Linked DNA regions of Drosophila melanogaster. The protein of the gene in region 1 interacts with the protein of each later gene in a pairwise test. Each region holds a gene or a part of one and is shown in the gene's direction. Other genes may lie near its edges. The genes, in order: CG14232, CG14194, CG5021 and Brd.

Region 1 (8,862 bases):
TATCTGCGGTAGTGGACAATCCGTGAATATCTGCGAAACAAATTTCGCCGCGCTTAGTCATCATCGGCAGCTCATCTCTGCCGCGGGAGGAAAGATTTCGTAGAATCTAGACGGCATGAATGAGCTTTGGCCATCAGCACGATGATGCACAAAAACTTCTGGTCAAGATCATAATGGCATGTCCATCTATGTATCTCTTGGAAAACTCAGGAGATATTATCGATGTTTTGAGCTAGAGATATAGATAAACATAATCTTACTGATTTTCTTGGATCTAGTAGACAATGTTTGTAGTTCATATATTATATGGTATATTTACATACCATGCGTTTGAAATATACAATTGAAATGAAATATATGTATGTGTGTACATTGAAATAATTGTGACAAACTTTAACTGCACAGATGTAGCTATTTATAAAAGATTTATGTAAATACATATAAGTATCTGCATATGTTTTGACCATTAACCGTAATAAATTTATTAAAAAATATTTATGATTATTGATATCAAAATTAATATATATATATTTATGATATATACGATACATCGGTCCATAGTTATTTCTAATTATTTAATCATTTATTTTGTACATTGGATTGGATTATAATTTACCTACCATATGAATCATATTTAAGATGCCTTATGTATGTACATACATACATACTATATAAAAATCTTAACGAAACAACTTGGTTTTTATGAGCTTTTCAACGTTGTAAACGCCTGTACGATTTATTAACTATTAAAACTAAATAATAATAATGAATTTAACACATCACTATTATCATCATATCTATATATTTTTTTTTGTATCTTATTGTTAGTAGCAATTGTTTCTTATTTTCCTTAAATTATCCTGTTGGATATCCTTGCAGGATACGAAGAATCCCCCGCCGGTGACGAGCAGCTATCACCACCAGCGGGCGCCGCGGACGCCGGAATCGTACTTCAACGTGCCGGAGTCGGTGGCCCTGCTGAACATCGTCAAGTCGGAGCGCATCCAGAGCGCGTTCCAGTCGAACCGAAAGAACCATGCCAGCGTGTGGGAGATGGTCGCCGAGGTGCTCAACCGCTTCAGTGCGCGGAAGCGAACGGCCAAGCAGTGCTGCAATCGGTACGAGAACCTCAAGAAGATCTACACGCAGCTGAAAAAGAATCCCGAGCGCCATGTGCGCCGCAACTGGCCGTACATGTTCCTCTTCAAGGAGATCGAGGAGCAGCGCGGCGAGTGCTGGGGATCGAATGGCAAGCGTCTGGCGCTCATAACCAAAAACCACAACGAGCTATCCTACTACCAGCGCCGACGGCAGGCGGCCGAGCTGGGAGTGCTGCTCAACAAGGACAACCTCACCCCGCACCAGCACAGCCTACTGCAGAGCCTCAGCCAGAGCCAGAGCCAGAGCCACTCGCACGCCCACTCCACGGACTCCTCGCAGAGCGGGAGCAAGCTGGACCGCTTCCTGCCCAATCACTTTGTGGAGGCGCAGCTCAGCGAGGTGGCCGGCCCGGTCGGTGGCTCCGCATCCGGTGTATCCGGCATGTCCGCCGGCGGCTTCGACGAGAATCCCCTCCAGATGCAGATGGTTCAGGCAGCTGCTGCCGCTGCCGCCGTGGCCGCCCATAAGCGACATGAGCTCCAGATGGCCAGCGTTGGCGGCGTTCAAATGACGCCCGAAGACGACGACGAGGATGAGCCCCAGCGGCCAGCATTTAAAAACCACCTTCACGTCCTGGGTCATGGCCACGGCCTCGGCTTGGGCCACGCGCCAATGGACGACTCTGGCGAAGCACCCGACTTCGAAAAGGACTGCAATGGAGCACTCAACATGCACCACCAGAACAACAATCACAACGAGAACCACATATCAATGAAGTGAGTAAAAGTTGTAATAGATTTCTGGTAAACTATGTAATAGACAGAGGAAGGGTTTTCAATCTCCAAAATATAATTGTTTATAGGCTCTTGTCTGTCCGTCGATATTTCCGTAACTAAATCTCAGAACGTTGCCACGCCCAGTCTTACGCCCACCAACAGTTTCGCAATCAAAAGACAAAAAAGTTCGTTGCAAGATTGAAAATCGTAGTGAAATTGAGAATATAGATTACTTTATGTTTCTTCCATTCAATTTAAAGATGTTACTTTAAGTGTAAAATCTAAATTTCGATGCCGATTCCGATCCTCTAGGGATTACTTACATATACTGCAAACTACAAACCTAAAAGATACTTCACTTCACTGATAGACTGACTTCACTTCATCAAACAAACAAAGTTAAGAAATAAATCCTTTTTACTCAACAATTATCAGTTCAAAAGTAATGGTGTCCATTTAATTGTTAATGGGGAAAGTCCAGATCGATTATCGGGTTGCCCCGTTCTCGAGATCCCGCCTAAGACTCTCGCTTCTCTGCCGCCCACAGGTCGGAGCCACTTTCGGAGGGCGAGTTCAATCCGGACGACATCCAGCTGATGCAGACGAACTACAATGGGTGAGTGCCGGCGGCGACGGAAGCCACCTTCTTCGAAACCGATTCCATTGATCAAATCCATGCTTGCACAGAGCGCAGAACTACTATTCGCCGGGCATGGATGCGAATATACTGCACCCCGATGTGATCGTCGACACGGACATCCTGTCCGACTGCTCCTCATCGACAACGCTGAAGAAGAAGCGCAAGATGTCCACCTCGACCGACGGCGACAGCACCAATTACGAGCTGATCGAGTATCTGAAGCGGCGCGAGAAGCGGGACGAGGAGCTCCTCAAGCGGATGGATGCGCGCGAGGACCGGCTGATGAACCTGCTGGAGCGCACGGTTGTGGCCATTGAAACGCTGGCCGTAAAGCGGGCACTTACGTTTCCAGTTAATCCAACCAAAGAGAACGCGCCAGCGACAGCCAGACCGTTGTCTCCGCCACCACCAGAGGCTCAGTTTGCAGCGCCGCCAGCTACGCAGGAGCAGCCCACCAGTCCGGAACGCAACGGCATTGCGACAGGCAGGAGCGGCACCATTCCCGTCGCGAATCAGGATGCCGCCATTGAGGTGCCAGACGACGGCGATAGCGGTGACGATGTTCAGGTGAAGGACAAGCTGGCCAAGCTGACACCAAAGGCTGGCGGCGATGAACGGACGGATGGCAGGCAGACGTAGAATATAATGCATCCACTACTCGCTAGATCTACTTAAGACTTCTACCTACATACATATATATATATATAACCCTTCCCTACCGCCACTCCTCTCACCGGATGGCGGCAGAGGATACAGTGCCAAAGAAGAGCCATGTCTCGAATTTCAGTTGAGATTGCCATTTTTACTTAGAGAGCCTACACAAGTGCTTAGCGGACGAATGAAACTTAATTGCAATGTTGAATATTAAGCGCCGCAATTTTTGTTGAAGCGATAATCTTAATTCACTTAATTAGCTTTTAGTTAGGCGGAATCCCACCAGCGGATGCCGAATGAATCTCAACAGAGCCGGATTCACACCGCTACGATAATCTAGTTGGAGCTGCAACGGGGCTCAAATGCATTTGTGCAGTAACTAAAGCACAAACATTTCATTTTTTTTTTTTGTAATCTAGATGAATACATGTACCATTTACAAAAAAAAAAAAGAACAATATTGGTTTATTTTACACAGGATTATGCTTAAGACTAAGGGTATAATTTAACCTAGATCAGTTTTTTCCCTTTTTATTCCGCTGCAGCTTGATATCCTTGCTGGGCAGGCTCTTCTTCGCCTTGGCGATCTTTTTGGTGATCAGCAATTTCAGGCGGTTCTTCACTTGGTCATATTCGGCATGGTCAACCACCGCCTTCGTGGACTTGAAAAACTTGGCGCCCTCTGCAAAGAAAAGACGATCGCTTGTTGAGAATGAAAAAATACGCACAGATTCACGTTCTTACCCTTGAGACGAGGATCGTTTCTGGGTATGAAGAAGGACTCCAATTTGTTTTTGTTCCTCTTTTGACCCGACTTCTTCGCTGGCTGGGCCTTGTTCTCCTTGCTGACCTCAAGCTCCTGCTCCTGCTCCTGCTCTTGCTTCGGCTTTACTTCGGTTTCGTCTTCGCTGTCGGACGAGTCGTAGGAGAACGGATTGAGAGTGGCCAGTCCGAGCTTATTGGCAGACGTCTTGCCCACCAGGATCTTCTCATGGCCCAGCTTCTCCAACTGGTCCTGGCGCTTGGCCACCTCCTTCTCCGGTGCACTGCCGAACATGTCCAGCAGGCTGAAACCCTCTCCACGCGTGTTCAGCGAATCCCTCAACGTGTCGGTGACAATGTAAAAGGCCGTCTTCGAGACGGCTGAAGCTTGACTGTTGCCCGCGTCGGCGGTCTTGGCTTTCGTACTGGAAGTCTCCTCCTTCTTCTCCTCCTCCTCCTTGGGCTGCTTTTGGCGCATTAGCTTCTGATGGCCCTCCTTGGCCGGATCGAAGCGCAGCATCTTTTTGTTCTTTGGCGACTTACCGTCCTTATCGTTCGCACTGGTGATCGCGTGTCCCACAACCTGCTCCAGAATGTTCATGTGCCATTTGCGCTCACTCTCCTCCGGCTCAGGCTGATCCTCCAGCTCCGCCTCTTCCTCCTCGTTCACAAAGTTCGATGTGATGCGGAAGCGGGGATCTATACTCTGTTTGCTCTGCATCTCCACCAGACGCTCGCCCTTCTTGCCCTTATGCTGCGGCAGGACGATCTGCTCCTCTTCCTCATCGTCGTCGTTCTCGAACAGATCCCGCTTTTGTATCTTGGCTTTCTGGACGGGCTTGGACGCCTCCTCCTCCTCGGCGTCGCTGAATTTTATTCTCTTTGCCTGACTGCCTTCGACTGATATCACAGATAGCGCCTGCTGGATGGCTGACTTCTTTTGTTGGTGTCCCTGACGCATCTTGTTGAGCGACTCCTTGCGCTTCTGTTCCGCCTGGCTGACATTGGCGTCCGGCTTCTGTTTGGCTGCCTTGCGGTGCTGTTCGATGACATGGAGTGGCTTCACGTCGTGCTCCTGCTGGATGACAATCTGTGGGAAAGGAAAGGAAAGGAATTTAGCTGACAATGAGCTTGGGAACAATGAGTGCGTGCATACCCGGCCATTGTGCATGGAATTGGCGGCGCGCTTCTTGGTAATCAGCAGCTCTGGAGCGACCTCATCATCACCAATCTCCTCATCCTCTCCGAATACCCTGCGCTTGTTTTGGCCACTTTGCACCAGGAGCTGAGAGCTCGGCGCACGCACCTCGGACTCGTCTGGCTCGCCCTGTTCCCGGCGCTGGTTCTCTTCGCGTTCGCGCTTCAGTCGATCCAAAAACGATTCTTTGGCAAGAGAAACTCTTAGCTTTTCGCCGTGCAACTTCTGCCATTTGAGCTCGTTGACGCCTACAAAACCAAGCTATGGTTACTCCTTCCGTCTGGCTGTGATCTTCCGCGGATAACTTACAGTACTGGGCATCATCCGTCTGCACGGTGACGAAGGCAATCACCTTAGTGGCCCCATCCTGCTCCTTGCGCTTCAGATCCACGTGCTCTACGTGACCGTAGTCCTGGAACAGGATCTGCAGGTCCGACTCCGAGGTCCTGGTCGGCAGATCCGCCAGGAAGAACCGAGTGCTGCCCATATTATGTTTACGCTTGCAATGCACGTGTAGAATCCAAATCCCGGCAAGAATTGCTGTGGGCCAGTGTGACCGCGGGCAGATAAAAACTTACACTTAAATATAGCCACAATTCCAATTCCCAATTGCTTTATACAGGTTTTTAACAAGTCCAAGCAACACTAAACCAGCTTTCAAATTTATTTAGCAACTTTGTAAATAGGCAAATACATTAAGTTAGACAAAAATAATCCCCATCGGTCAGTGTTGCAAGGCGAGCAATACAATTACTTTAGGTGCGCAGCTGGCTGGTCACACTGGCAGCAGACGTCACAATAAATTCTATTATTTTGTTTTGTTTTGTGCGAAAAGTTTGCAGGCCAGCAATCGTGGACTAGCCCACAAACAACGGCAGCATGGCGAGCGGGACAAGCGGCACAAGCAGCAGTGAAACGGCCCAGTCGACGGACATGGCACCATCATCGGCCGAGAAGTGGGGCTTCCCTTTGATTGAGCTCTACCGCCTGGCATTCACGTTCTACAAGCGTAAGAGCAGAGATCCCGGCACTAGCGCACCAATAACGGCTAATCTCACATATTGCAGGGAACTCCGGCAAGGCCATCCACTTGTCGTACGAGGACAACCTCAAGCTGATCGCCTTCAAGCAGCAGGCGGCGCTGGGCCCCTTCAACACGAGTCGCGCCCCGGCGCTGGGCGTCCTGGACGTGATCGGACGCGACCGGCAGCAGCACTGGCAGCTGCTCGGTGAGATAACGCGCGAGCAGGCGATGGAGGGGTTCGTCGACCTGCTGGACACAATGTGCAGCGCCTTTCGGCCGTACATTGAGGCCGTGCGGCAGGACCGCGACGAGACGCTGCGCAAGGAGCTGCGCCTCATGGAGGAGAAGAAGGAGGCACGCGAGCGGCAGGAGAACGCCCAGCAGGAGCTGCTCGAGGAGGGTTACAAGGAGGAGCTGCAGCGCCGCCAGCTGCAGGACGCACTCAACAAGCAGACTTACCAGCAGTTTAAGGTAGCCCATCGATTTTTTCAACAACACACCGGCCCGGCCCTCTGCACCTGTTGTTGTGCTAAATAATGCATGATAATTACTGGGTGCTCGGCCTTGGCTGCGCTGTCTGCCATTGAAAAGGGGTCATGACCCAGTTCTCAGGCAATTGCATGCCAGCTCCTGTACCATTAACTTGGCCCTTCTAACGCTTACACTCGTTCCACAGCTGTACGCTGAGAAGCAGTTCCCCGGAAACCCCGAACAGCAGGCCGTGCTTATCCACCAGCTGCAGCGGGAGCACTATCACCAGTACATGCAACAGCTTCATCTGCAGAACCAGAACCAGAATCAGAATCAGAACACGGAGGACAAGGGACACCAGGAAGCAGAACACGTCCCTGGCAATAACAACAACAGCTCAACCGACTTGCCCAACGCCATGGAGGGACTGAAGCTCGGTGAGGTCGAGACACAGCAGCACCAGCAGCTGGCCGAGCAGCAAGACGGGCATGTAGAGCAGACGTTGGAGGGCGTTGGGCAGGAACAGCACGGCGAGGAAGAGTACGACGACTACGTTATGATCTGCCCGGCCAAGATCTGGACTCGTCCCGACATCGAGCAGTTTAAGACTGAGGTGTCCGCCGGCGATGGGGACGGCGTCATCACCATTGGACACGGCGACACGGTGACGGTAGGTGGCAATCAACTAATGACGAAACAAGGCCCATATTGACCGGCACAATTTTGCAGGTCCGTGTGCCCACCAACATGAACGGCAAGTGCATCTTCTGGGAGTTCGCCACGGACAGCTACGACATCGGCTTCGGCATCTACTTCGAGTGGGCCAAGCCCGTGACCAACGAGGTGACCGTGCATGTGAGCGACTCCGACGAGGACGAGGATTGCGTGGACGAGGACTACCTATCCACCACCGAGGACCTGGAGTCCGGCTCGCTGTCGCAGGAGCGCGGCGCAGTTAACAACCCGACTGCTGCCCCCAAGGCACCCATTTCCATTATCGTACCGATCTATCGACGGGAGTGCTACAACGAGGTCTACGTGGGCTCCCACTCCTATCCGGGCGAGGGCGTCTATTTGCTGAAGTTCGACAACAGCTACAGCATCTGGCGCAATAAGACGCTGTACTACCGCGTCTACTACGAGCGTTAAGAGGCCAAAATGTATTTACTTACCACTAACTTAGATGAATCCTATCTCCGTACGAACGGCTAATGTGCAAGTCCGGAATAATCTGTATGTGCGTGTGCGTGAGGTTTTGGTTTTACGTGTGCGTTGCTGCAATTCCGGGAAACAAGCGGCGGGAAAAGACCATGCCGATTTCAGACTAAACCAATATTATTTATTATTTAGTTGTAACCGACGAAGACAAGTCCAAAATTCAATTTGAAACTAATAAACAATATAAAGACAACTGTAAATAATCACTTTTCGAAATCTCTTTGCTTCTTAATGAAGAATAAATTATTCGTAAAATTCACTTAGGAAACTTCTTCATACGACACAATTGCTATTACCAATTTTGGGCATTGAAACAACTATTATTATTATTTTATATTAAATAAAAATTGCATTAAAGTATAGTTAAGAATTTGGCTCGTGTAAGGGGCCCTAACACTAACGGTCCCACGATTTGCTGGTTGTGGTTTCTATCGGTGCCTGGTCACACTGGCCATTATGCATGCACTTCGTAATTTTGCCGGCAATGGAATAGCAAATGTATTTGGCTGTGGGATCAGGCGCCGGCTCAGCTATGTCCTGGGCATCGAGACCTCCTGCGACGACACGGGCATCGCCATCGTGGACACCACGGGCCGAGTGATTGCCAATGTGCTGGAGTCGCAACAGGAGTTCCACACCCGGTGAGTGCTCACATCTCCGCATGCGGTGCCCAATGATGAACTGAATCGATTGCAGCTATGGAGGCATTATTCCGCCCAGGGCCCAGGACCTTCACCGCGCCCGCATCGAGTCCGCCTACCAGCGCTGCATGGAGGCGGCGCAATTGAAGCCGGACCAACTGACGGCCATCGCGGTGACCACGCGTCCCGGACTGCCGCTGAGTTTGCTGGTGGGCGTGCGCTTTGCACGGCACCTGGCCCGTCGCCTGCAGAAGCCCCTGCTGCCCGTTCACCACATGGAGGCGCACGCGCTGCAGGCCCGCATGGAACATCCGGAGCAGATCGGCTACCCCTTCCTCTGCTTGCTGGCCAGCGGCGGCCACTGTCAGTTGGTGGTG
Region 2 (9,305 bases), 510 kb from region 1:
ACACAGGAGGTCAAATAAAAAGATGACCATAGAGAATGTTTAATGGCAATTGGATTCATAATGTTTCCTTTCGATTCATCCAGTGAATAACCAGACGCTCAATTGTATTAATTACAGCGAAAACCAGTCGGCTTTTTTAAAGACAATTAAATCCCGATCGATACATTTGGTATGAGAATTGCAACTGCAATGCTCAGATTTTAACAAAGTAAATGATTTGCCGACAGCGAAATGGATTGAAGAGCCACCTGGATGGCCAAAACCATATGTTCATTTAGCAGCGATAAGTATAGATGCCCTATAACCAATTAAAAGTAGCAAGTGTGGGCAAAACAGTAGAAGTAGTTGGAGTTACCTGTATTACTGATGATGAAGAAGTGAACTCCTCCTCCTTTATGGAAGTACACATTCCATTTTCGGTACACTCAAATGCTTAATTGGAAGTATAGAAAACATGTAAAAGTTTCAAATGCCAACTAGAGAGAATGCTATAGTCAAGTTCCCCGACTATCAGATACCCTTTACTCAGCTAGTGTGAATGCGAACGCGAAATTTCTGAATTTTTCTGGTATATCGATAGATATTGGGGAATAAAAATTGTTCAAAAGTGTGGGCGTGGCAGTTATGGCCGCTTTAGGGCGTTAGACTGGGTGTGGCAAAAAAAAAATTGTAAATCGATAGAAATTTACACGACTAATAAAATTATTAAAAAATATCCAAAAAAAATTTCAAAAATGTGGGCGCGGCAGGTTTGGGCGGTTTTAGGGCGTTAGAGTGGGCGTGCCAAAGTTTTTTTTAAATCGATAGAAACTTACACGACTTATAAAATAATTTAAAAATATTTCAAAAATGTGGGCGTGGCAGTTTTGGGCGTTCGAGTGGACGTAGCAAAACGTTGTTTGCAAGTCGATAGAAATTAATGAAGACTAATCAAAATGTGAAAAAATATCAACACATTTATTAAAAGTGTGGTCGTGGCAGTTTTGTGCGGTTTGTGGGCGTTAGAGTGGGCGTGATAGCCTTCTAGCATTTATAGTACCTAAGATCTCGACGTTCATACGGACAGACGGACATGGCCAGAACAACTCGGCTATTGATCCAGATCTAGAATATATGTATATCTTCTGTCTGTTACATACTTTTCAACGAATCTAGGGTATAAAAAATATAAAACCCTCGGTATAACCAGTACGATCACAAATTCATTAACAATATTCAAATATTTATAAGCAACTACAGTTTTTCCCGGCATTTACAACATATAAATGTTTGCCGGATCTACGTCCAATGATTGTGTTGCTATTTGGGCGATGTTCTTTTGAAAACTTGAATCTCCAGCCACGATGAGGACACGCTGTCCGGGAATCGCGGGATTGAGGTGGGTGGCCAGTTCGGTGGCATCTAATCGGGACACCTTTGCCGTCTCCTTGTAGCGTAGATTGTCCCGGAGCTGAGGGCACTGCTGGGCACAGTGGCCCGCCTCCTGGCAAGCGGAGGAGTCACACTGCTGATGCGGCAGGTAGAGGCAGCTCCTGTAGTTCCAGAACTGGGCGAACTCGAGCATCTCCTCGCGGAAGTAGACATGCAGCAGGTCGTGAGCGCACACCAAATGCCACAGGCGACTCATATCCTCCTCGTTGTCCAGCACCTGCCGAACCAGCGGCAGAGTGGGTGCAATAGCAACTCCCTGGGCGATAATATAGATGCACTTGGCCGGCTGCGGTTCGTGTACGTATTGCCCGATGGGACCACGGAATTCCAGCAGATCGTCGGGCTGTACGGCTTGCAGGTGCCGAGACATTGGCCCCTCCGGCTGCAGCTTCACCAGGATACGGAACTCTTTGGCCACAAAGTCGCTCCAATAGGGCGAATACGGACGCAGCAGGGAGCCGACGCGCAGCATCACATGGTGGCCGGGCGGGATGTCAAGCACCGTGTCCACCGCTCCATCGCCGTCCCCCTCCTCTGCTGCATGAGCAAAGTGCAGGAGCAGCAACTGTCCATTGGGTCCCAGCGCTTCCCGCCGCAACAGGCGGAACTTCGTGTAGCTCAGGATCACGTTGCGTTTGCCAGCCAGCAGGACGCGTTTGCTTGGCCGTGGCTTGTTGTCGAGGATGCAGTTGGTGCAGCCATTGCCGCAGCAGTCTGAATCCCGCAGCTGGTCCTCGTTTTCCTTCAAATCTTCCAAATAAGATAACATTTTCCTGTGCCTATCGAGGCTATCGATAGCAGGCTAGCGTAGCCGGAAATCTGGCGAATTGTAGCCAGACATCTGGCTAGTCCTTAGTCAAGCCAATCGCCAGAGCAGGCAAGAGTTATCGATATCGAATCTCGGGACAGAAATGCCAGTCAAAAAAGTGTGTAAATAAAACAAAGAACAGAATATCTACAGGGAAAGGGGTGAAAGATCGGCGCCAGGCGTAGAGTACTAACTGCCCCCGCCCCCCCACTCCATCATAACACACAGCCTTGTTCGGGCGAAGATCGCTTCGTGGAGCGGACGCGGTGCGGCGGGTGCCCACGAGCAACTAGTGTCCAGGTACCAAGTGTCCAGTGACATAGCTCTATGGTGTCCTCAGCAACATGAATCTGGAATCTCTGTTCCGCGACTTCAATCCCTGGTGAGAAGCCTCCGACTGCGGACGACCGGATCACATGGGTTCCCAATCTAAAACATAATCGACCATGTTCCCTTTCAGCAAGTTCATCGTCCACTGCAGCCTGTTCATCTTTGTCACGCTCTTCGCCTTGCGCCTCGACAACTACATTGGTGGGTACTTTTCTGTGGCAGTTCTGGAATACACAACGTCACCCAGAATTAAAATAGCACGGGGATGCAAGAAAATACAATCATATAACAATACAAGCATATACGACCCATACACAAATATGTGTACGGTGCACCATCGCTTCTTCTAGAGAATAGTCCAGATTTATTGTATACAAGGGTTAGCAAGCAGATCATGAGATTGGATATAGCAATATCGAAGAAATCGTCTGACCATAGAGGATCATCCAAATTTGGTCACTTAACGAGGATATTAGTTCTCTCGCTATTTTAAATAACTTATCTAAGCTAAATATTTAGATTTTTAATTACTGAACAAGATTTATTGTAGGGCATTAACCTTATAATTGGCCTAGTAGCCTAGTCTAATCGAATGCCTTATCCCAGATTGGCCCTACTGGGCGATTTTCACACCGCTATGGATATGGAAATGCACCGCCATCCTGGGCGCAATCGTAGGAGCCATTGTGTGGTGTCGGTATCCGCATTATCGTCTCGAGGGCGATGCCTACACGCAGTTCAAAGCGATGCTCATCTCACTGGCCCTGCACCTGATCCTGCTGATGTTTGAGCTGCTGGCCTGCGATAAGCTGACCTCGGACCGTCACTTGTGGGTGCTGGTCTTCATTCCGCTGATCTTCGGCTCGGTGGTTAGTGTGGGCGCCTGTGTCTGGGCCGTCAAGCACGATCGCTCCTTCGAGCTGGAGCTCTTCCTGGCGGTCAACGCGCTTCAGTTTGTTTCACTGCCGCTAAAGCTGGATCGCTTTGTCTACTGGAACTGGGACGTAGTGTTTGTGCCCATGTGGATCGTCATATGCCTGAGCCTGGTCAGCGTATTGTATAACATCATCTTCTGTGGCATCATGATGCGTACGCCGGAGGTCTCGCTGCAGCAGAAGAAGGCGGCATTAAACGCAGCGGTGGGCAACATCTGCACGGTGCTCCCACTGCTCTGCTTTCAGGTGAGACCTCATCTAGTCCCTCCAAAAGATTGTGCATCGCTAACCCATCTATTCCGCCAGGTGGTCATCTGCGACAAGCTGGACGGCGAGCTTAAGTTCCCGTACATCGTGGTCTTCTCACCGCTGCTCGTCTCTATTCTGGCGCTAATAGTTCTTAGCTCCTCGGCAAAGGGCGGCAACATGTGGTGGTTCGGCATCCGCAAGTCTTTCAGCCAGTTCCTGTTGTCCGCGATGCCGTTCCTGCAGGAGTACGGCAACATCAGCTATCACCCGGAAACCCACAGCAATGCTGCACAGTCCATGCCGCTGGACGCAGCGTCCTCCTCGACGAGCATGGCGGCCAGCGAGCAGCTGCACGAGTTCCACAAGCACGACAAGAAGAGCAAGAAGGGGGCCAAGAATGACATTCTCAAGCCGGTGGTTCCGTTCGTCAGCATCGATCTGCCGGACTAGATATAGACGGCCAGTACAGCACAGGAGCAGTACAGGAGCAACAGTAAAACAGCAACATTTACAATAAATCGCAAGAACCGCGTAGACTTAAGGACAGCCTCTTTGCACGCGCACAAGGAGACGCCGCACACCTTTGTTCAGGTGTTTATGTTAGGCATTGTTAAGCATACCCATACCCACTTACACACTCACGTCTCCGTCGTAGCTTTTAGACTTGTACTGAATTTTAATTGTAAGACAAACGCTAACACCGCCCACGAACCATGTCCAACCAACCAACCAACCAACCAAGCACATCGCACCCACCATGCTCCCTTCCACGCATCCGCCTGCATATGATAGCACATATAGCACATACATGCATACAGGACCTGACCACCACACGCTTTTGTCCAGACCCGAATCGGACTCCAACTTGACCACAAATTGAACAGCGCCGCATTCGGAATTTTGACTCGTGTGCTAGTATTATATGTAAAACATCTCTCACACCTTGAGAAGCCCACTTATGTGTAATGACCTACTATAAAGTGTAAATAATTAACAGAGTACGTGAAAACGAGAAATATACTTAAGTGCTTCCATCAAAATGAAAAGACGATGATGAAATGGTTCGAAATTCGTGTGAGTTGTATTTATCTTTATTCAATTAGGAAGCTACAAAGTTTACATATGTATTTCATAGTTAAGTTTTGCATTTCATTTTTAATTAATTCTCTTACGTTGTGTCGCCTAAAAAGTTATGCAAAGGTAAAAAGTTGCATTTTAAAAAGTGACCATCCATTTGCCGGACAAAATAATTGAAGATTAGCCGGTGAGCGGTATATATAAAGCGCATATATATATATATATATGAATATATGAATATAGTCTGCAACCGGATCGGATGCGACTGGAAGTACATATTCTTGGGGGTGTGGGAAAGAGAGAGTGAGGCACATAATCGGAAATGGGGAATCGAAATGGAGCGGGACAGAGTTATACATTAGTATAGATATAGTTAAAGTGGGCTAAACGCAGGCCGTGTAAGCATTAACAATAATTCAAATACAATATATATCTGATCGATCGCGAGGTGCAACTGGCAACTTAACTATTGCATAACATATCGCATGAGTGGGCGTGAGCTTGCTTGCATTTGTTAATCTGTATAACATTTTTTTTTTATAGAGTGTCCGTTTGTATTTGGTTTTTTGTGTGAGAATTAACAATTGTTTCATTGGCTTAGCTACATAAATACGTTGCTCGTTTTCGGGAACATACGGGGTTATTACCTAAGACGTCGATCTCCTGCAAATATAATGCACAATCGCAATCATAATTAAGGTTAGCAATAGCACGTACTACTTATCGAATAAAACCTTCCGCCTGAACCTGCTGTGTACATATGGCACAAAGTTGGCCAAGTAGCGATATCAATTTGAACTCTTCTCGATTTACACTAAGTACTCTTGTGTAGAAGAAAAAAAAACAAAAAAAAAACACCTACGCAACTCCTTTGCTGCAAAATATATTGATCCTAATCTGGTTTGCAATTCGGTTACCTATGATGGGCCTCTAGTTTTCACCGGATTGCTCCGTCTTTCGATTTTTATTTCACTATTAAAGTTGGCTAAGAACAATTGTTTACTTGGCTACATTTGCTTATACCACTGACCTTCTGACCCCGTGAGCACCAGAAGCCGCACCTCCACGTCCATTCGGATTATTCAATCCGATCCACGATCAGTGAGGGATTCTGAAACTATGGGCATGAGTTAGCTAGCTATCAACTATCCGGGAAATATCATTTGCCATCACTGCTCGGATGGAATCTGTGGAGGTCCTGGTTCGTTGCCCGCAGCAAAGTCGCACACTTAATGTCTATTGTCTGATTACCGTCTATTAGAATCGTGTCCTTGTTCCTTTTATGTTTGTTTGTTTTTCTTTTGTGGTTGGGGGCCAATAGGGCCTGTCCCAAGGAGGCTATTTCCCGCTGCTCGTTATCATCTTGTATAAACGATATGTACTAAGTGGTAAGTAATGCGACTTCTATTTATTTTACTTTACTTTACTGCCTAACAAATGAAACTGCTCGCACCTGGCTTGGCTCCTTGCATTCCATTCGAAATTGACATGAGATCTGGCGAGCTGCGATCCATTTGGTTTGGTTTTGGTTTTGGGTGCACTTAATCCCTAGGTAACTTATTTCACGTATTTAGAATGTGTACATAGAACGGTATGCCCTCTAATCTGGCAAAATTCTTTACATACTTGTTGTTAAATTCAATAGCTATATTAATCATGGAACTATGGAACATTTATCTCTGGATTTTGGTTTGGTTTCGCTTTCGGTTTAGATTGATACATAAGTGTAAGTGTAAAGAGAATCGAAGAATTAGAAGAAGGCTAAATTTGCTATGGTTGATCGGTATGGAAGCGCTTAGTTTTAAAGTTGAAGAAGTTCGTTAATTGTACGTTTCGCACGGGAATTACACGCACACGGTTCACTGGAGGAGTGGCGTGCTGGGGGCATCTAGTCCTGGTCGAATCTAGTCCAGTTTCGGCCGGTTGCTCAAATACTGGGCAAGATTCTCGCGGGGTCCCTGCACGATCATCATGAACTGCGATGGGAAGTCCCAGATGATGGTGAAGTGGAAAAGCATGTTGGCAATGGCGATCAAGTACTCGAAGAACGCGAACCAACTGAATGCTGTCAAGAGATGTGGGAATAGAGATGTGGGAGATTCATTATCTGTTTCGGGGTGGAAAATGTGAAACTAAGAGATTTGAAACGCACCCAAGTCGTGACAGTAGAAGCGATGTTTGGCAAAGAACACCAGCAGGCCGACGGTGCTCAGGATGGAGACGGCGAACAGGATCTTCTTCCACTTGATGGAGAGGAGCTGCTTTTCGCTCAGTGCCTGTCCGGCATTGAGGATGCCGTTCAGCTTGATGGTGGCCAGCATGTAACACAGCGAGCAGACCATGAACGTGATGAATATGCGCTCGTGAACGGCTGGAAGAGAGAGAGCAGACGGATCAGAGGGATCAGATGTACGATTGGGGGGCTGGGCAGGACCTACGGTAGTTCTCGCGATTCGATATATAGGTGACGCCGCCCAGGGACGCGATCTCGATGCAATTGAGCACCAGGATCAGCGTGATGAGCAGGCTCGTCTGAGGCACCTGGGCGGGACTGATCCGACGCAGCTGCGAGCGGTAGTAGTTCTTGTAGACAAAGGCGATGGGGATTCGCGGTCCGATGTGGAGCGCGATGCTGAAGCGCCAGAAGTAGCGCTGCGGACTGACGCCGGTAATTGCACTTATCGAGGGTATAATGTTGTAGACCTGGTAACGAATGCCATACATAATTAATAACATTAATCTGGAGACTGAAGATATGGTGGGAGATGCTCTTGAATATGGACGGACGGGTTACCCTTGAAGTGAATGCTCTCTATACTTGCAAGGAAAATGAATTATGGCCACTAATAATCAAAATATATATTAATAACATAAAAAAATCAGATATGTATAAATCTATTTGAGTTATATATATACCCAAATAGGAATATATTTCACTGGTGAAATTTATTGTAATTAAAATTAAATAAATGACCGCTGGTGAAAATAAAAACCGCCATGCGTGGAGCAATTGTGAGCGAATCGTTTGGAAAAGCGGATTTGCGTGTCTCCAATCTCGGCGGGATTCCCGCAGGGATGACAGTGATTTATTGGCCACGGGCGACGCGCCGGAGCCCTGCCCAAAACATTCATCATTCATCAGCATCATCCTGGCCACTGAATACCCTTGGATCGCCCGGTGCCCATTTACTCACGCGGCAATGTGTCTCGTGGACATCGTCGTACTGGAAGACGTAGGCGGTCACGAAGCACGTGAAGAGCGTCACCAGCGGCAGCAGGGCGGTCACCACGCACAGTTCATGGAAGCTAGCCAAGTAGTGGATGGCAACCTGCTGCTCCTGCGGCTCCCTCGCATCCGCCTGCTTGGAGCTAATCGTTGTGTTGATCTGCAAGGAGTTGCAAGGAATGGAGGCCATTAGGATCGAGCGGAGTTCAAGCAAAACCACTGCGCACTATACTTGGGATGTGCGAAATGCCACATAATAACATGTGATGGAGAGTATTTGCAACATATAGCTTTTCGTTATCAATTAAATGAATTAATTAATATTAAATTGATAGTTAAAATCCACTCATTGAGTTATTAACGTATAGGTAGTAATCAGTATTAGGGTTTTTCGAGTTATCATTGAAATTAAATATTTCCCAGGACAATGTTTGCTTATGTGGCATCGTTCCAGCCCAGAACCGCAGTGGTTTCGCCTCTTAAATGGAGGAGTGGAGAATGGAATGGGATGGCAGCCCTTACCTGGCCATAGTTGGTGGTCGAGTGTTTCGTTTTGGTTAATGCACAACAACGATAAAGCGCTAAAAAAAAAATAAATAAAGGTAAAAATAGAAATGAAAACCAAACAGAAGGCGTGTGAATAAATCAATAAACAAAAGACGAACGATGGGGCGCAGCGAATTAAGGCGGAAACTATGCGATCCGGCTGAATAGTGAATGCGGTTCGCCTGGCATCCCGAACTGGATGAGCCGGAGTTATAAATAAACAAGTCCTTGAGTTCTTGGGCAGACAAGGGGAGTAGGGGGCGGGGGCAGGATATGAATGATAGCCTGGGGGGGTGGCAAGGACACTCTCTCCCCCTTTCTCACTCTCTCTCTTGCTCTTCCTCTCTTTATCGTTCTCTGGCGCTGCGAAGCAGCAAAGGATTAAGGACCAAAAATAGACGAGCCTCGCCTGACGTAACCATTATTACCAACGGCAGCTGGCCAAAATTAATTAGCTCAAGTTAATGGGAAATTGGCCGGGCGTCAGAAATGAAATTAAATATGTGCTGCGATTGAATCGGGACACCGGAAGCGAGCAGCTCGAAGCTCGCCAAGAAACTGGGCCAAAGGTGGGTGGTTGGGTGGTTGGGTGGTTCGCAAGGACATGGCGAAATCGAATAAATGATTAAAACGAGAAACAAACAAACAAGCGCCGCCTGTGTAAATACACGCATTTCGAAAATTAGGCAAGCCAGCGAGAAAA
Region 3 (7,775 bases), on another chromosome or scaffold:
ATCTTTCTTTGTAGCTCTCCTCTGGCCAACCGGCTGTGGAGAAAGGCAGCAGCGATGATGAAAACCAAGTGTCCAGTACATCCGGATCACGTTTCAATGTAAATTCTTCGCTACCAATAAGTCTCATGGCTTTCTGCCTAGCTGTCTTCTCGTCAAGGGCAGCCACCCATTGACTGTTTCCCTGGGAGTCGATGACCTCGTATGCGGGCACCTGATGCCCCCACCACAACTGCCGGGAAATGCACCAGTCGCGGCTATCCTGTAGCCAGCGTTCCCACTCCGTTTCGAAGTTCGGAGGCAGGATTTGCAGACGTCCACTATGAAGTTCAGATAAGGCATCCTTTGCCAAGTCTTTGCACTTAAGAAACCATTGCGGCAATATCATGTACTCTATGACGTCCTTGGAACGCGAGCAGATGGGCAACTGCATGGTATGAGAGCGCACCTGTCGCAGCAAATCCATCTCTTCCAGGCGATTGACGATGAGATCTCGCGCCTCGAAGCGCGGAATACCCTTGTACTCAGAATAGGCATCCACCACAAGACCCGTTTCAGTAAAGACCTGGCGAGGTTCAAGCTTATGGCGAGTGGCCAGCTCGAAATCAAATTTGTCATGGGCTGGTGTGATTTTCACTGCCCCGGTGCCAAACTCCTGGTCCACGGTGATATCGAAAACGAGTGGAATGGTGTCGTCACGGAAAGGATGCTTGAGCTTAACCTGATCAATGTTTCGGTACTTGGCGTAGCGCGGATCCAGCGGATGTACTGCGACAGCTACATCACCCAAAATTGTCTCTGGTCTAGTGGTAGACACCACAATCTCTTCAACCGAACCATCGGGCAGTGCTTCACCATCCACTACGTGATAGGCGAAATCGTACATTCTGCCAAAGAGTACTTTGTGATCGTAGCCTGGAACGGATATCTCTACCGGCTCCGTGATCTCTACACTGTCCACCTCGATATCAGATATCGCGGAACGTAGAGCGGTGCACCAGTTGACAACCGAGTTGCGCCGCTGAATTAGGCCTTCTTCAAAGAGTCGCTCGAAAGCTACGTTGACCGCATGCGCCTGCTGCTCATCCATTGTGAAGTATTCTCGTTGCCAATTCAGTTTACAGCCGAGTTGGCGGAGATCCTGTACGATACCAGCACCCTTTTCCGCCTTCCAGCGCCATACTTCGTCCAGAAAAGCAGAACGTCCCAATTCATGACGGGTTTTCGCCTGAGAAGCGGCAATCGTGCGCTCTACGACCACCTGGGTGGCGATACCCGCGTGATCTGTGCCTGGTACCCAGTCCACCTGGTAGCCAAGCTGTTCGCGCTGGCGGGCAATCACATCCTGCACGGTGGCCATCAGTGCATGGCCCAAATGTAGATTCCCGGTTACATTTGGTGGCGGTAGAAGCATGCGATAGGTCCCCCGCTTGCAACTGCTGGCTGAAGCCTTGGGCAAATTTGCCTGGCGATGCTCCCGCTCCCAGTAAGCATTTTCCACTGGTTGTGGCTGGTATCCTGCTGCCAAGGGAAGCTCATTAGCCGCATCTAAAAGTGGAAAAAAGTGAGTTCTTTAGCCGGCACTGGGGTTTTGAATGAAACTGGAGGTAACGCACCTTTAAGGGTACTGTAGTATAGAGAGTACACCCTTGGCTGGCACAGGTACTTGTGTCTGAGCAGTTTACTGCTACAATTCCCAATTATTTGCATTTTTAATGTTGTGTTATGTTATGTCAAAAAAAATTGTAATCTTATTGGTGATGGTATAAAAACAGCTGAGGAGATAATCGATATACGGCTTATGGGCGCCAATTTCAAACGAGAAACGGTAGAGCTTTCCTCCTCAATTTTTTTTCAAACTTCATTATTTATTTGATTTGTCAAAAGAGAAACATAAAACATCTCAGAGGGTACGTATGTGAATATCAGGATCCAATGTAATTTTTTTTAATTTATAAAAGAGAACAATTTTATTAAGAAACCATAAAGAAAAGTACGATAAAAAAATATATTTTTCAGGCACTGACACTGCATGAGGTGTAATGATCAATGAGCCGGTCTGCCTCCCGATAGCCCGCCTCCACAGCTCCGTGAACGGTGGAAAAGTGATTCCTGCTAGACGCTTCTCCGGCAAAAAGGAGGCCTAAATGACCATCTTCGCCCAACACAGGAGACTCTAGATCCCAGGGGCCCGTATTCCTTTCATCGGCCATAACTCCACGATAACTCCAACTGCCACGGAAATTCGGATTCGAAAACCACGAGCTGCGAACGAAACGCTTTGGCGGCGGAATTTCGAAAGTGAGGAACTTTCGGAAAAGCCAGTACAAGCCCTCAAGGACTTTCTCATCGGACAGGGTCTCCATGTGGCGTCCATGCGGACCATTCACCCAGGCCATCAACATTCGGGGCTGACAAGTGATCATGTGTACACCGGTTATACCCTCCACCCAGAAATATTCCGTCTTTCGCAGCTCTATCAGATCCTCTTCCAGCCAAAAGCAGAAGAAACCCACCCAGCCGTCAGGAAGAGGTTGCTTCTCATACTCCAAATACAGTTTGTTCACAGTGCCCAGGGTGAGGCTGCGAATGGCATTCACCTTGGCTGCGGGCAGCGGCGGGACGAACAGTTTCTCGTGCTGCTCCTGCAGGACTCCCAGGGAAACGGTGCAGATGACGTGGTCCGCCTCGAAGTAATCCCCATCCTGGCAGCGCAGGATTACCTTACGGGGGCACGCCAACTCAATCTTGATGACCTTCATATCAAGTTGAATACGTCCTTCCAGTAGACCCAGCTCTTCTGGCGTATCCGCGCTGACCTTCATCAGCAGCCGCAGGAAGCGCCGGTAACCCTTCGTTCCCCAGTGGAGCAGCTTGTCGCCATCACATTCGTGGTACTCGATGTGTTCCCTAACGGAGACCTCGAAAAGATTGTCCGCACCAATAATAGAGCTTTCATGCTTCGCAAATGTATTCAAGGCCTCACTAGCCACATCCCTATTCACTTGGGGTAGCTCGGACTCGATCTTGCGCCAGAAGGTCTGAGTCAGGTGGGTGCCAAAGGATCCCACAACCGGGTGAGGTCCACTCGGCATGCTCTTCACAGCAATGTCGTGAATCCTGCAGGCCAACTCATGTGGAACCACCTCCTTGTTGGATCTCACCCTCTTTATGGGACTGTAATAGTCGCCTGTCTCGTGCAGGATACCCATATCCTTGACCATGTCGTATACACAATTTTGCTGCTTTCCATGACACCACTGGGCTCCCAAATCGATGACGTTGTCACCAAAATACACGGTGTTGATCCGCCCGCCAATGCGATCCTCCGCCTCCAGGATCTGAACATTCTGGAAATTGTTTTGCAGGAGTCGAGTGGCGGCGGCTATGCCCGAAACTCCTGCTCCGATTATGATTATCCTAGAGGAGGCACGGCATTTTTCCATTTTGAAACGTTGGTAGTTAAGTTCGACAGAAAGAGCAGACGATCAACGAGCTACTGATGAAGTTTGTGGGCTAACTTGGCAAGTGATGGATGCTGCATTTCAATGGCTTCCACTGCGGTTGGAGTACAACTTTTTGCACACTCTGCTGGTTTTCAGCCACAACCATGTAACATTGAGAATCCGGGTCACAGAACATAAAAGTCGTCTTAGATAATATTGCTTCGGCTTTTATTACTTAATATGATGCGTAAAAAATTATGTTTCATAAATAACTTAAAAGTGGCATTTTTTTCTCATTTGGCGCTGCTATTGCAAATAACAATTCCACAAACAAAATGAAGGGGAGCTCAATAAAAAATGTTTGCAAAATTTTCAAATACGATAGGTTTAAGCTCGATTACTTATGGTGCTGCCAACCCAATCGAAGTCGAAGAAGTGCTTCACCCCTGCGAGCTATCGACTCAGTGCGAAAACGATAGAAGGCTACGCAGGCAGAAACAACAACAACGTCCCAGGCGAAGAAAATATATTAAATCCCCTGAAAAACCACGAAAATCCATGAAAATTGCACCCAACTAGGAATTAGAAGTCACTCCCTACACCAGCATGGCATCCGCTACGGTAAGAAATGTATGTATGCCGCACTAACACCTAACAAGCTGCTTGATTGGGGTGCCATTCTGACAATACGATCCGAGGTTTTCCACGAAAACTCATATTTTACAACGAGGCAAGCCAAACTAATCCCACATACGTGTTACACAGGTGCCGCTGCTCGACGATGACACGATACCCTTTGGCGAGGAGGACGAGATGCGGGATCCCAGTCGCGCGGGTCAGAAATACACGTATGCAGAACCATAATGTTTGTTGATCAATTCCATTTACCCCAACCCAACCCAACGCGTGTACTCCACAGGCACCCGTACGTCACCTTCTTCCACCTGTTCTTCAGGGGCGCCGCCATCCTGATCTATATGTTCTGCGGTTGGTTCAGCGACTCCTTCATCACCAGCTTCGTTTTCGTGGTGCTCTTCCTGTCCGCCGACTTCTGGACGGTGAAGAACATCTCGGGCAGATTGCTGGTCGGTCTCCGCTGGTGGAACTACGTCGACGACGATGGCGTATCGCACTGGGTGTTTGAGTCAAAGAACGTGAGTCACGAGCATAGCTAACTAGATTGCCCTTGATAATGAAACGCAGTCTGAATCCTACCAGAGTCGGGTCAACAAGAACGAGCAGCGCATCTTCTGGCTGGGACTCATCCTCTGTCCCGTCTTCTGGGGCCTCTTCTTCCTGTTCGCCCTATTCGGCCTGAAGTTCAAATGGCTACTGCTGGTAATGATCGCCATTGCGCTGAATGCCGCCAATCTGTATGGCTACGTCAAGTGTAACTATGGTGCCAATAAGGATCTGAATTCCGCCGCCACAGACTTTGTGAAAACGCAGTTCTTCAAGAATGCCGTGGACATCATGACAAGGCCCAGTGGCGCCCCACCGCCAACAAATGTACGCCCGACGGGAGTCGTTTGAGCTGGTGGAGACGCCATCTACTAAGTCACCTTGCCACCGTCTGCTGCAGCGCATTCCAAAGAGTATTCGACGCTTCTTCTGGCGCGGACCACGACCTTCGATTGGCATCGCTGTCTGTGTACCATATGTAAAACTTAATTTAGCCATACTGCAATCTACCATAATCATTTCTTACTTTTACTCGGATTAAAGGACCGCATGTGCGTGTGACATGCAACCAGTATGCCACATGGTTTTATTTCGAATGGTTTAACTACAAATTTAAGAATAGTTATTAAAAGGGATTCAGATATAGCGAAATGTGTTTTATTTTTATTCTCTGCATCTTAATCTGAGTACGAAAGACGTGAAGCAAATAATTTTCATTACTGTTAGATTACTATAAATTATTTAGTTTATTTTCTTTTTTGTCATTTTAGTTTCATATATGAAACTGTCGTAAACATATATTTAAAAATGAAGCGTAAATATAATCATTCCTGCAAAACTAAACTAAATGAAATTGCAAAACAATTTAAAAATATTTTTACATATTAAAAAACCTGATAATTTTTTAGTTCTTTGTTAGTGGCAATAACGGTTCATAGGCAAAACGCAGTGTGGTAGTGGACGCCACAACAAAGCTTTCCGGCTCAGTGAGCGACGGGCACACTGGCACAAAGCACAAAACAGAACAGTCGGTCGGAAACGGAATCGAAAAGAAAGAAAGAAATGCAATCTGTGCCGTAAGCGGGGGCGTGGAACAAAAGTTTTTGCAGCCCGGAACGAGTTTCATTGTTAGCTGCAGAGCAGCAGTGCCGTAAGTCCGCCAAATCCCCGCCAGAACCGGTGACGTACGCACTGCTGTGGGTTCAAAAAAGGGGACTCGAAAGGCGGGATAACCGTGGCGAAGAAGGGCGGAGGTGGAAGGCGGCGTCGACAGAAGCAATCAAGTGGCAACAGGAGATAGCCGGGGCAAAATGCAAAAAGTTAATTAGTGGGGGCCAAATCAAATCGGACACCCCGCCGAGGGCGACACCATGGAATTCGCCGACCTTATAAAGACCCCCAAGCTGGACGGTGTCCTGCTGCACGACCCATCGAATGCGGGGGCGTCGGGTGCAACAGTTGGCACACTGTGCATCACAGGGCACCATTTGCTGCTCAGCGCCCGCCAGGAAACCAGCCAGGAGCTATGGGTAAGTGGGTTGAGGCCTGCCCACCTAATCCGATGTGCTTCGGCATCAGTGGAGCGCTCATAATTGAATTAGAAATTCATCATGCTCATCCCCCTCTTTTCAGTTGCTCCACAAGAACATCGACTGTGTGGAGAAGAAGCCTAGTTTGTCGCAGAATATCGTGGTCGGTGGGATTATCACCCTGAAGTGCAAGGACCTGCGCATCATTTCGTTGGAGATAAAGTGCGGCAAGGAGTTCTTCAACGTGGCCGCATCGCTGGAGGCACTCAGTGCCATCCAGAACACCGAACTGCTCTATCCATTCTTCTACCGGCCCATGTACTCGATCCTAGAGGACGGCTACACGATGTTTAGGTGGGTACACGGCTTCTCCATAACTAACAAATTGGCTACAATTCAATTAACCTCCCCATCCAAACGACAGGCCCGAGCTGGAGTTCGCCAAACTCATAAGCGGGGTTGGCATGGGCGGTGCGTCCTCGCCGAATGTGGCCAACATAACAATTTGCATGCCATCAACTTCGACATCGACGTTGACTGTGGGCGCCGGCATTCCCCATCCTCTGCAAAATGGCTATGCGATAGAAGCCCTTGCGTGTGGTGTTGGTGGTGTGGGAGGTGGTGCGCTTCAAAGTCCCCAGGCCTCCTGCGAGTGGCGCATCACCAACGTCAACAGAGACTTCAGCGTCTGTGCCACATATGGCGCCACGCTAATTGTACCTAAAGCAATTACGGACGAGCAGATAGTGCTCTCCGCTGCGTTCCGCGATGGCGGCCGCTTCCCCGTGCTCAGCTACAGGCATGAAAATGGCGTAAGTCATTGCATCTACATCATCAAATTTTATTAAATTAATTCAATGATTCATATTTGCAGGCCACACTAATGCGCAGCTCCCAGCCGCTGTCCATTCAGGGCATCAAGCGCTGTAGAGCTGACGAGGCTATCCTTAATCTGGTGCTGGGTCGCAGTCGGAAGGGGTTCATCGTGGACACTTGGGGTAAGGGCAAATCGAATACGGAAACTGACCTGCACTACTCGCAGTGGAAGAAGGTAAATCGTTCAATTGGAAACGTCAGTTCGCCCGCCTCTATTTTGGACAGCTTTGCTCGGCTTATCGAAGCTTGCAACGATTTGGGATGCAGTACTGATAAATGGCTATCGCGACTGGAGAACAGCGGCTGGCTTAGTCTTGTGCTGAACTCACTGAACGCCTCCTGTGTGGTGGCCCAATGCCTGGACCAAGAGGGAAGTCCAGTGTTAGTGCACGGTGCTAAGGGGTTGGACTCCACGCTTATAGTCACCTCACTGGTGCAGATCATTCTCAATCCGGACTGCCGGACTGTAAGGGGGTAAGTAATCATATTCTCCTTACCTTGAAAAAGATATTTATGCCGTGTTCCCTTTGCAGCCTGCAGGCTTTGATAGAGCGCGAGTGGATCCAGGCGGGACATCCGTTCGCCTCGCGTCATCGCTACTCATGCTATACACCAAATCAGACACGCAATAAGACCTCTGGTGCCACCTTCGTCCTATTTCTGGATTGCATTTATCAGCTTTACACGCAGTTCCCCTGCAGCTTTGAATTCAGCACTCAACTGCTGATCCTTCTATTTGAGCACA
Region 4 (7,074 bases), on another chromosome or scaffold:
TGGGAAAATAGGAAAAGGACGATCGGACGGAAGGACTTAGGGGCACTTTCTGGGCTGTCTCAATGAAATAACGGACAAGTCCCTTGTCCGTTTGGGTATTTCCAGCGGCGAGATTGTATCTCCGAGATATGCCAATCCATTGTTTGTCCATATCCTCCGTCTTTTTTCGGATAGTGTGTCGAATTTTAAAATCTCTCTTCCCTCACACTCTGTTATGGAATTTTTTCAACAAGTTTCGACTTGTCCGCTCGGTACTCTCCTGGAATTTTACGTTTGGGATTTAGGGACTTCTACTTTTCTTGCGACAGAGTCGAGCAGGTAAAGAGAGGTTGTGAGGCATGGTACTCTCAGAGGGGGCGAAAGATCGAGAACCGACCGAGATCTATGCGACTGTCAAAAAATCCGTTAAAAACCTGCAGTGAATGAGCAACTCGAGTGGGTAATACCCAGCATTTGAATCACGTGGGAAACATATGAAATTTTAAAGTAAATGACTTAGTATGGTATGCTATGTTCCAAAAAATAAATACCATTAGTAAAATACTAAATAATTGTTAAATATACAACGATCTCTTTGTATTTATTGTAATTTTACCGATGTACTTCCTACATACCTTAATTTAGCAGTGTGCTGTTAAGGAAAACTTTTTTTGTAAGGCTGTGCCGATCTTAATTATTTAATTTTAAATAGTTTTTAATTTAGTTGTATACCAAATATTTTAGGATACATTTTATTCTTGCTAGTCTTTTAAGTTTAATTTTAATAGAGTCCTTAAATATTGATATTTTTCATCAAGTTTATGATCTTATTACTATAGTTATTATAAATTCAATGAATTCAATTCAATTAAATTCAACCTTATATGGCCCCTTTCAATATTACTATTATAAATAATTTTTTTTAGAAAAAATACACTTAAAAGATATACACACAATAAAAACATATTAACCTTATTTTTCGTAAAATCTATTTTTTATGCACAGACTCAAAAATTCATCATACCCTGCTTTCTCAAGGGTAAGGACATGCTCCTGATTCCGAGACCGCTTTCTCTTGGCTCTCTTTTGTCTCCCGCTCTCACTGTTTGTGCAACCACCTGCAGGCAGTCTGCCTTCCCATTGGCTGGGTCCATCGATCGAGAGAACCGCCGCTCTGTGCGAGAATTCTCCCCCGCCGAGAGAAACCAAAGAGAGCAAATCGTATATAAGGAGTCGGTCGTGCAGCAGGAAAACCAGAATACTACCAACTCTCAACCGAGTGCAACCAACTAAGATCCCAAGTTTTATTATAAATCTCAACAATCCTCAACACAATGTCGTTCATCACACGGGAATACAAGTTTGAGAGCAGCAAGGTGATGGAGCCGAAATCAGATCAGCACACGATGGCCATGCGGAGTCTGAGGAAACTGGTCAAACCCCTTCTGCGACTGGTGAAGAAGAAGCAGCTACTCCGGAAGACTCTGGCCGAGATCCAGAACCAAAATGCAGTCAACGCCTCGCTGGAGGACATGCGCAAAGATCCGGCGGCCAGTTGCGATAACATGGCCAACGAGGAGCTGGAGCAGCGACTGTACACCGATCTCCGCCAGTGCCCCACCAACGTGGCCATGATCGTGCAGCAGGGTCAGCAACAGAGCATCGTGCCCGTCCATCCGGAGCAGACCTTCATCCCGGTCCACTTCGCCCGCACCACCAGCGGCACCTTCTTCTGGACCTCAGCCGAGGGAGCTCGCCAGCACCACGAACAGCAGTTGCGCCAGCAGTTCGACCGTTGGGTTCAGGCCTAAACATCGCCAGGATGCACAGTTCCACTTCTCGATGCACCGGGAAAAACTCCAATTGGCAGCTTTAAGTGCAAGTGTCTCCGTCCATTGGTCGTCGGATGGATGCGGGTTCAGCTTCGCATGTTCGTAATCTCAGGGTGATATTAGGCATAGATTGGATTCTTTGGGCTCGCGTCCCAAGGGAAACACAACTCTAATTGATATTCAATTATCACAATCAAGCGTTACTATCGTTAACTCATTGTGATTTATCGTGTCTTATTAGCCTTAAGTTAGTCTTAGCCGAATCATTGTCTTCCATGTTTGTTTGTTAGGGTCTTCGTATAAGAATTAGGCTAAGAATCATTGTCTTCCATGTAAAACTTTAGCTATAAACACTAATATCATATAAGAAATAAATAAATCGAAAAAAGGAAATTCTAATGTCTCTTTATTCTGAAAACTGATATGAAATAATATGAATAAGGTTGGAAAAGAAAAATCCCAAATTGAATGACCATTGTAAGTATAGTTAAATTCGGCTACTCTGTACAATTCTGATTTGAAGAATGGATTTTAAATTGGACTCGCTATGCTGGTGAACACATTCCAATTAGTGACTGCATTCATTCCTGCTTGGAGACCATTTGAATCCAAAAATGCTGCTGGTAGGCAGTTGGAAATACTTCCGTAAGAACAATAAAGAATTTTATTTACATTTATATTTAGCCTGACCACAGGCTAATATAATATTCACCAAATATTATTTTTTGTCTTTCATACAATTTCTGCATCTGTTATCGTTAAAATATGATTTTTGTTTCAAATATACCTAATATATACCTTTGTAGTATATATGTATTTATTTATTTATTCTATTTATATTTCGAAAATATTGGTATAGTAAATATCATATCTTTTCATATCATATTATGGTTCACACGCTTCACACGCACCCCAACCACCTAGCGCGAGGTCTAATCCAGCTCAGCAGCCGTTCCCGTCTCCGGCGAAAGGACCTACCAACCCAGCGAATAAATTATTAGGGCCGTTTAAACATAGAACAGTTGGAAAAATAATACAACTGTTCAAAAAATACTTGTTATAGTTAAGATTTTTAAACTTATTGTTAGTTCTTATACAAGAAGATTCAATAAATAAAAGCAAAGTAAAATAAAAAAAAAATATTATGGTTAAAAAAAATTACTGTTTGTATCTACAAATATTAAAATACTACAAAGAATTCTTCAAGAACTAATTATAAGAAAACCATATCAAATAACCCAGTCTAAAATGAATAAAATAATTTTTAAAAATTTTGAATGTGCTACAAACGCGTGAATTCTCAAAATTCTTTAAATGAGTCAATGATAAATATTTATCACAATAATATCATATATAATATGTATGTATATACGGCTAACAAGCCACCGAACTGAAATAAAATAAAGATAAAGAATTATGTATTAAAGAATACATGTATTTTCAGTGTAAATAATTTTTTTTTATAAGAAAAATGCAACATAAGTCATATTACAACACTCGATCCACAATATTTTGTTTCACGATAGCCACAAGCTAATTATGCAGGCTTCATTCTGGCGCTTGAATTTCAGGAAACCTGACACTAACAACTAAACTTGAAACGCCACCAAAATAAAATCTTCAAGTGCTTATGGGGAATTATGCCTGTGGAATAGTTAAGCGAGCCACAAGCACGCTAGGTTCCTGGTTGGTCACCCCCCAAGTGGATGGGCCAGGATCCTATCCCACTCCATCTAATGCAACTGGATTGGAATACGAATGAATCCCAAATTACAAGTGCCAAGTATTTCAATAGGAGACGAAATTCGAATTTCAACAAGAGACGAAATTTTAATTTTCTTGGAGAGCCCGAACCAACACACAAGTGTGGGGACAGTGAAACCTGTCACAGAAAACCATATTTCCAAGTGGTGGTTCCATGCAACAAGAAATCCAAAAATATCTTAAATCCCTATAGCAGATTTAAGGGAAAGATAAAGAAACCTTTCATGCAATAAACGAAGAAATTCGAGTTTCATTACGCTCCAAATTCAAATTTTGCCAAGGACCAAAACAACCCCGAAGAACAAGTGTGAGGACAGTGAAGCCTGCCAGAGCAACTACGCTGCAGTGAGTGTGGAATCTTGAAAATCCCTGCACACCTTCGAGCGAATGTTCACTGTACTCGAAAGGACCACAGTCTACCTGTACTGATCAAAAATGAAATGTTGACGTGTAAATATTTCTCGTTTGCCGACAACATGTGTTTAACGAGGGTCTGTCACTTTTATCCTCCACTGTCAGCCTATTAACAATTAATAGCCAAAAACTAATCAAGGCATAAATTCGAGCCGAGTCCTCCGCAAACAAACCACTCAAATTACTAACCCGAACCCGATGGAAAAGGGATGATCGTTTATTTTTTCATTTCTTTCATTTTTTGGCTATTTGTTATGCTTGCCGGCATCGTCCTCCTATTGGCATTCGACTGAAATTATACTCTCCCACGACGAAAACGAAATCGAGGGAGAGATTTATTTAGGGCCTACGAAAATTGTGGCCTTACTTCGCACACGTGCAAGGGTCGCTCAAAAAAGGGACCCGAAACGATCCCGAACTACCTGCAGAGAGTTGAGGAATGCGTGACTCTCATATTTTGAGAGACCGAGAAACACCTGCGCGCTAGGACTCGTCCTGATTGGTTGACTTAGGGGTTGCTTTCGCAAGGATCGGGTATTTAAGCGGTGCGCAATTCCGAATAGGACATCACATTCAATCGCAACGTTGAACAGCCAAGATCAGTCGACCAAGCAAGCAAACTACTAACTAGCAAAAATGGCCTACGAAACTCTGATGAACACCACCATCTACACCACCACTCCTGTCTGCCAGAAGAAGACCTACACACCCGCCAAGGCCATGAAGAAGATCTTCAAGGTGGCCTGCAAAATCTTCAAGGCATCGGGCCACCAGCAACTGAAGAACCACTCCATGCCGAAGGAGCTCCCACTGCCCACTTCCGAGGAGGAGCTGCAGAACTCCCAGAACGAGCAATTGGAAGCCGAGCTCGTCCAACTGTAATCGAGGAAAATGGGAAATCCGAAAAAAAATACCACTTTCCAATCAGCTTTAAAGACTCCAACGGATTCGGTCTCTAAACATCATCCGCAACAGCTTTAACTCTCCACACTGTGCAAGTGGAGATTTTAAAATGAAATGCACAAATATCCAGCTTTAATCATTGTCTTCCATCTATGTTTAAGAGAGTATGAATAAATACATAATATTAATACCGAAACTTGTTTGCATTTCTGATTTCTTATTCGAACTTTCCCTTTGTCATTGTAATTTCCTCGAAGGTTTTTCCAAGAATCTGTAAGCCAAAAACCGTTCTTATCCCGTACCCCTGACCCTTCCACATTCACGGAACAGCGAGACCCTAAGAACCTTAACTCGAAAAACAAAACCTTTACCTGTTCCCTTTTGTTGGAAACCTGTTGTGGATTCGAAAAACTCGAAAAATCAAGCCGAGTGAGCCGGGGAAACCTGTTACCTCCAGGCGATTTCTGATTTTCGTTTTCAGCGCTCCTTCTTAGGGTTGGGCCCTGGACAAAATAAATCTCGAATTGCATCGGAACAGGTAGAGGGTCCCGGTCCCAGTCCCTCGGATGATAAACAAAAAAGGCAGGGGCCCTACGCTACGAGCAGAAACAAAGCCAATCCTATCTCAATAATAAATGCGAAAAGGCCGCACGGTTCGGTTCGATCTTTATGGCATTTCAAAGGGGGCATTCTCGTACATAAGATCGTGTGTGCGTTATGTAAATAGTTTTACATAAAGTCGATGCAGATTCCTTATTGAAAGCATACAACCAAGTACAGTTCGGGATAATGTTACAGGTTACAGGACCCGTTGGAGTTTTAAATGGGCAATGATATAATACAAAGATAATGATATGATGATATGATGATGATAATTTTATTAAAGAAACAAAAGTTTAATTGATATTAATAAATCTAAATAAATATTTGTGTTTGAAATCAAGATAATTACATAAATATTAAAATAATTTATAGATTTGGGCGTTGAATTTAATTTTATTAAACTCTTATTTTTTATTTTTGTGATTCAAACTCTGTTATGTGTAGGATTTTGTTTGAGTTGGGGTAAATCAAATAACAATATTTAAACCATTACTAAACATTACAATAAATTCGTTTATAAGATAGTCGCAAAAAATGTGTTGTCGTCGCTTTATTAAAAACAACAATATTTTATGATATGTATCATATATGCAAATATATATGACTAATTAATTAATATTCATTATTATTATTTATTTAAAGATTCTAAGACCACTTACTTAACAAACCATAGACATCATACTTCTTCAAAACAAAATATTTGTCTCTGAGGATTTCAGCTCTTTTGTGGCCCTAAGTAATAGAAAAAATGAAACCTCAAGTAAATTTATATTAGTGATTGCTACAAACACAATTTGATATCAATAGGGCCCAAACATCTAAACAGACCTCATCTGCAGTTTTATATTTCTTTAGGATCTTTTCAACCATTTAAACACGGGTTACAAATTCTCACAGGCTGTAAATATAAATGTAAGGCGAGCAATCACCACATCCCACAATAAATGAGTTATAATACGATACATTCACAAAAAATGAACCCCCATTCTACAATTAATTGAGGGGTCTGAACCAAAAAAGTGAGGACTAGAGATGTTCAAAAATGAAACCCTCTGTCGTGACACGAAAATATTTGGGAAGCCCGCTGCCCAAGTAACCAAAATACGAGGAGCTCCCCAACTGAACGTGAGAATTCTCAAGATCGTGCCTCAAAGGACTTTCTGCGATGCCATCCCTAATCAACCGAACCGAAAAACATAAGAATGAAAGTGCACGATTTGTGTAAATTTGGCTTAGATTGTAGCTGGTTTTCGGTTACAGGATCGACATATTTCTGATGAACTGGCAAAACAAACCCAGTCGAAATCCAAAACAATAACTGGGTCTCCGAGAGAAGGCCGGCAATGTGCTGTTCCCACGCCAAGGATTCGTTTGGAACCCGGGGATAATTGTCTTGAAAGGAGGAATGGGCCCGAGATTCCCACGCTTCGCACAAGATCTCGAATCTCAGGTCCTGCAGGACCTACCTGCTGCCACTGACTAACGTGTGAAATTTCGGATCCTTGCACCTGCCTGCCTTCCGAGCGACGTGATTGGCTGAGATGCTGTAGCATCGCTCCTGTCTCCCAAGAAAGTATAA

The links.
Region 2: the proteins of CG14232 (region 1) and CG14194 interact in a two-hybrid assay, tested with the Drosophila melanogaster proteins (one large-scale study listed by BioGRID).
Region 3: the proteins of CG14232 (region 1) and CG5021 interact in a two-hybrid assay, tested with the Drosophila melanogaster proteins (one large-scale study listed by BioGRID).
Region 4: the proteins of CG14232 (region 1) and Brd interact in a two-hybrid assay, tested with the Drosophila melanogaster proteins (one large-scale study listed by BioGRID).

The regions. Positions count from the first base shown.
Region 1 is NC_004354.4:19,701,167-19,710,028, reverse strand, and holds CG14232 (uncharacterized protein), read left to right. Parts: upstream 1-5,769; 5' UTR 5,770-5,890; exon of another isoform or gene 5,891-5,966; 5' UTR 5,967-6,010; coding exon 6,011-6,140; intron 6,141-6,198; coding exon 6,199-6,626; intron 6,627-6,831; coding exon 6,832-7,296; intron 7,297-7,355; coding exon 7,356-7,775; 3' UTR 7,776-8,041; downstream 8,042-8,862. Other genes in the region: meso18E, read left to right, coding at 880-1,877, 2,425-2,493, 2,565-3,156; CG14230 (uncharacterized protein), read right to left, coding at 3,687-3,853, 3,916-5,023, 5,090-5,379, 5,441-5,618; Tcs4 (Threonyl-carbamoyl synthesis 4), read left to right, coding at 8,301-8,485, 8,541-8,862.
Region 2 is NC_004354.4:19,191,249-19,200,553, forward strand, and holds CG14194 (uncharacterized protein), read left to right. Parts: upstream 1-2,306; 5' UTR 2,307-2,583; coding exon 2,584-2,621; intron 2,622-2,699; coding exon 2,700-2,770; intron 2,771-3,175; coding exon 3,176-3,750; intron 3,751-3,810; coding exon 3,811-4,203; 3' UTR 4,204-4,789; downstream 4,790-9,305. Other genes in the region: CG7914 (uncharacterized protein), read right to left, coding at 1,253-2,200; CG7990 (uncharacterized protein), read right to left, coding at 6,735-6,895, 6,983-7,201, 7,269-7,533, 8,025-8,216.
Region 3 is NT_037436.4:8,962,920-8,970,694, forward strand, and holds CG5021 (uncharacterized protein), read left to right. Parts: upstream 1-3,909; 5' UTR 3,910-4,049; coding exon 4,050-4,073; intron 4,074-4,208; coding exon 4,209-4,291; intron 4,292-4,362; coding exon 4,363-4,597; intron 4,598-4,646; coding exon 4,647-4,976; 3' UTR 4,977-5,252; downstream 5,253-7,775. Other genes in the region: ValRS-m (Valyl-tRNA synthetase, mitochondrial), read right to left, coding at 1-1,545, 1,614-1,707; CG5653 (uncharacterized protein), read right to left, coding at 2,013-3,443; CG5026 (uncharacterized protein), read left to right, coding at 5,996-6,154, 6,258-6,508, 6,579-6,966, 7,029-7,504, 7,564-7,775.
Region 4 is NT_037436.4:14,968,114-14,975,187, forward strand, and holds Brd (bearded), read left to right. Parts: upstream 1-4,553; 5' UTR 4,554-4,625; coding exon 4,626-4,871; 3' UTR 4,872-5,085; downstream 5,086-7,074. Other genes in the region: Tom (twin of m4), read left to right, coding at 1,314-1,790.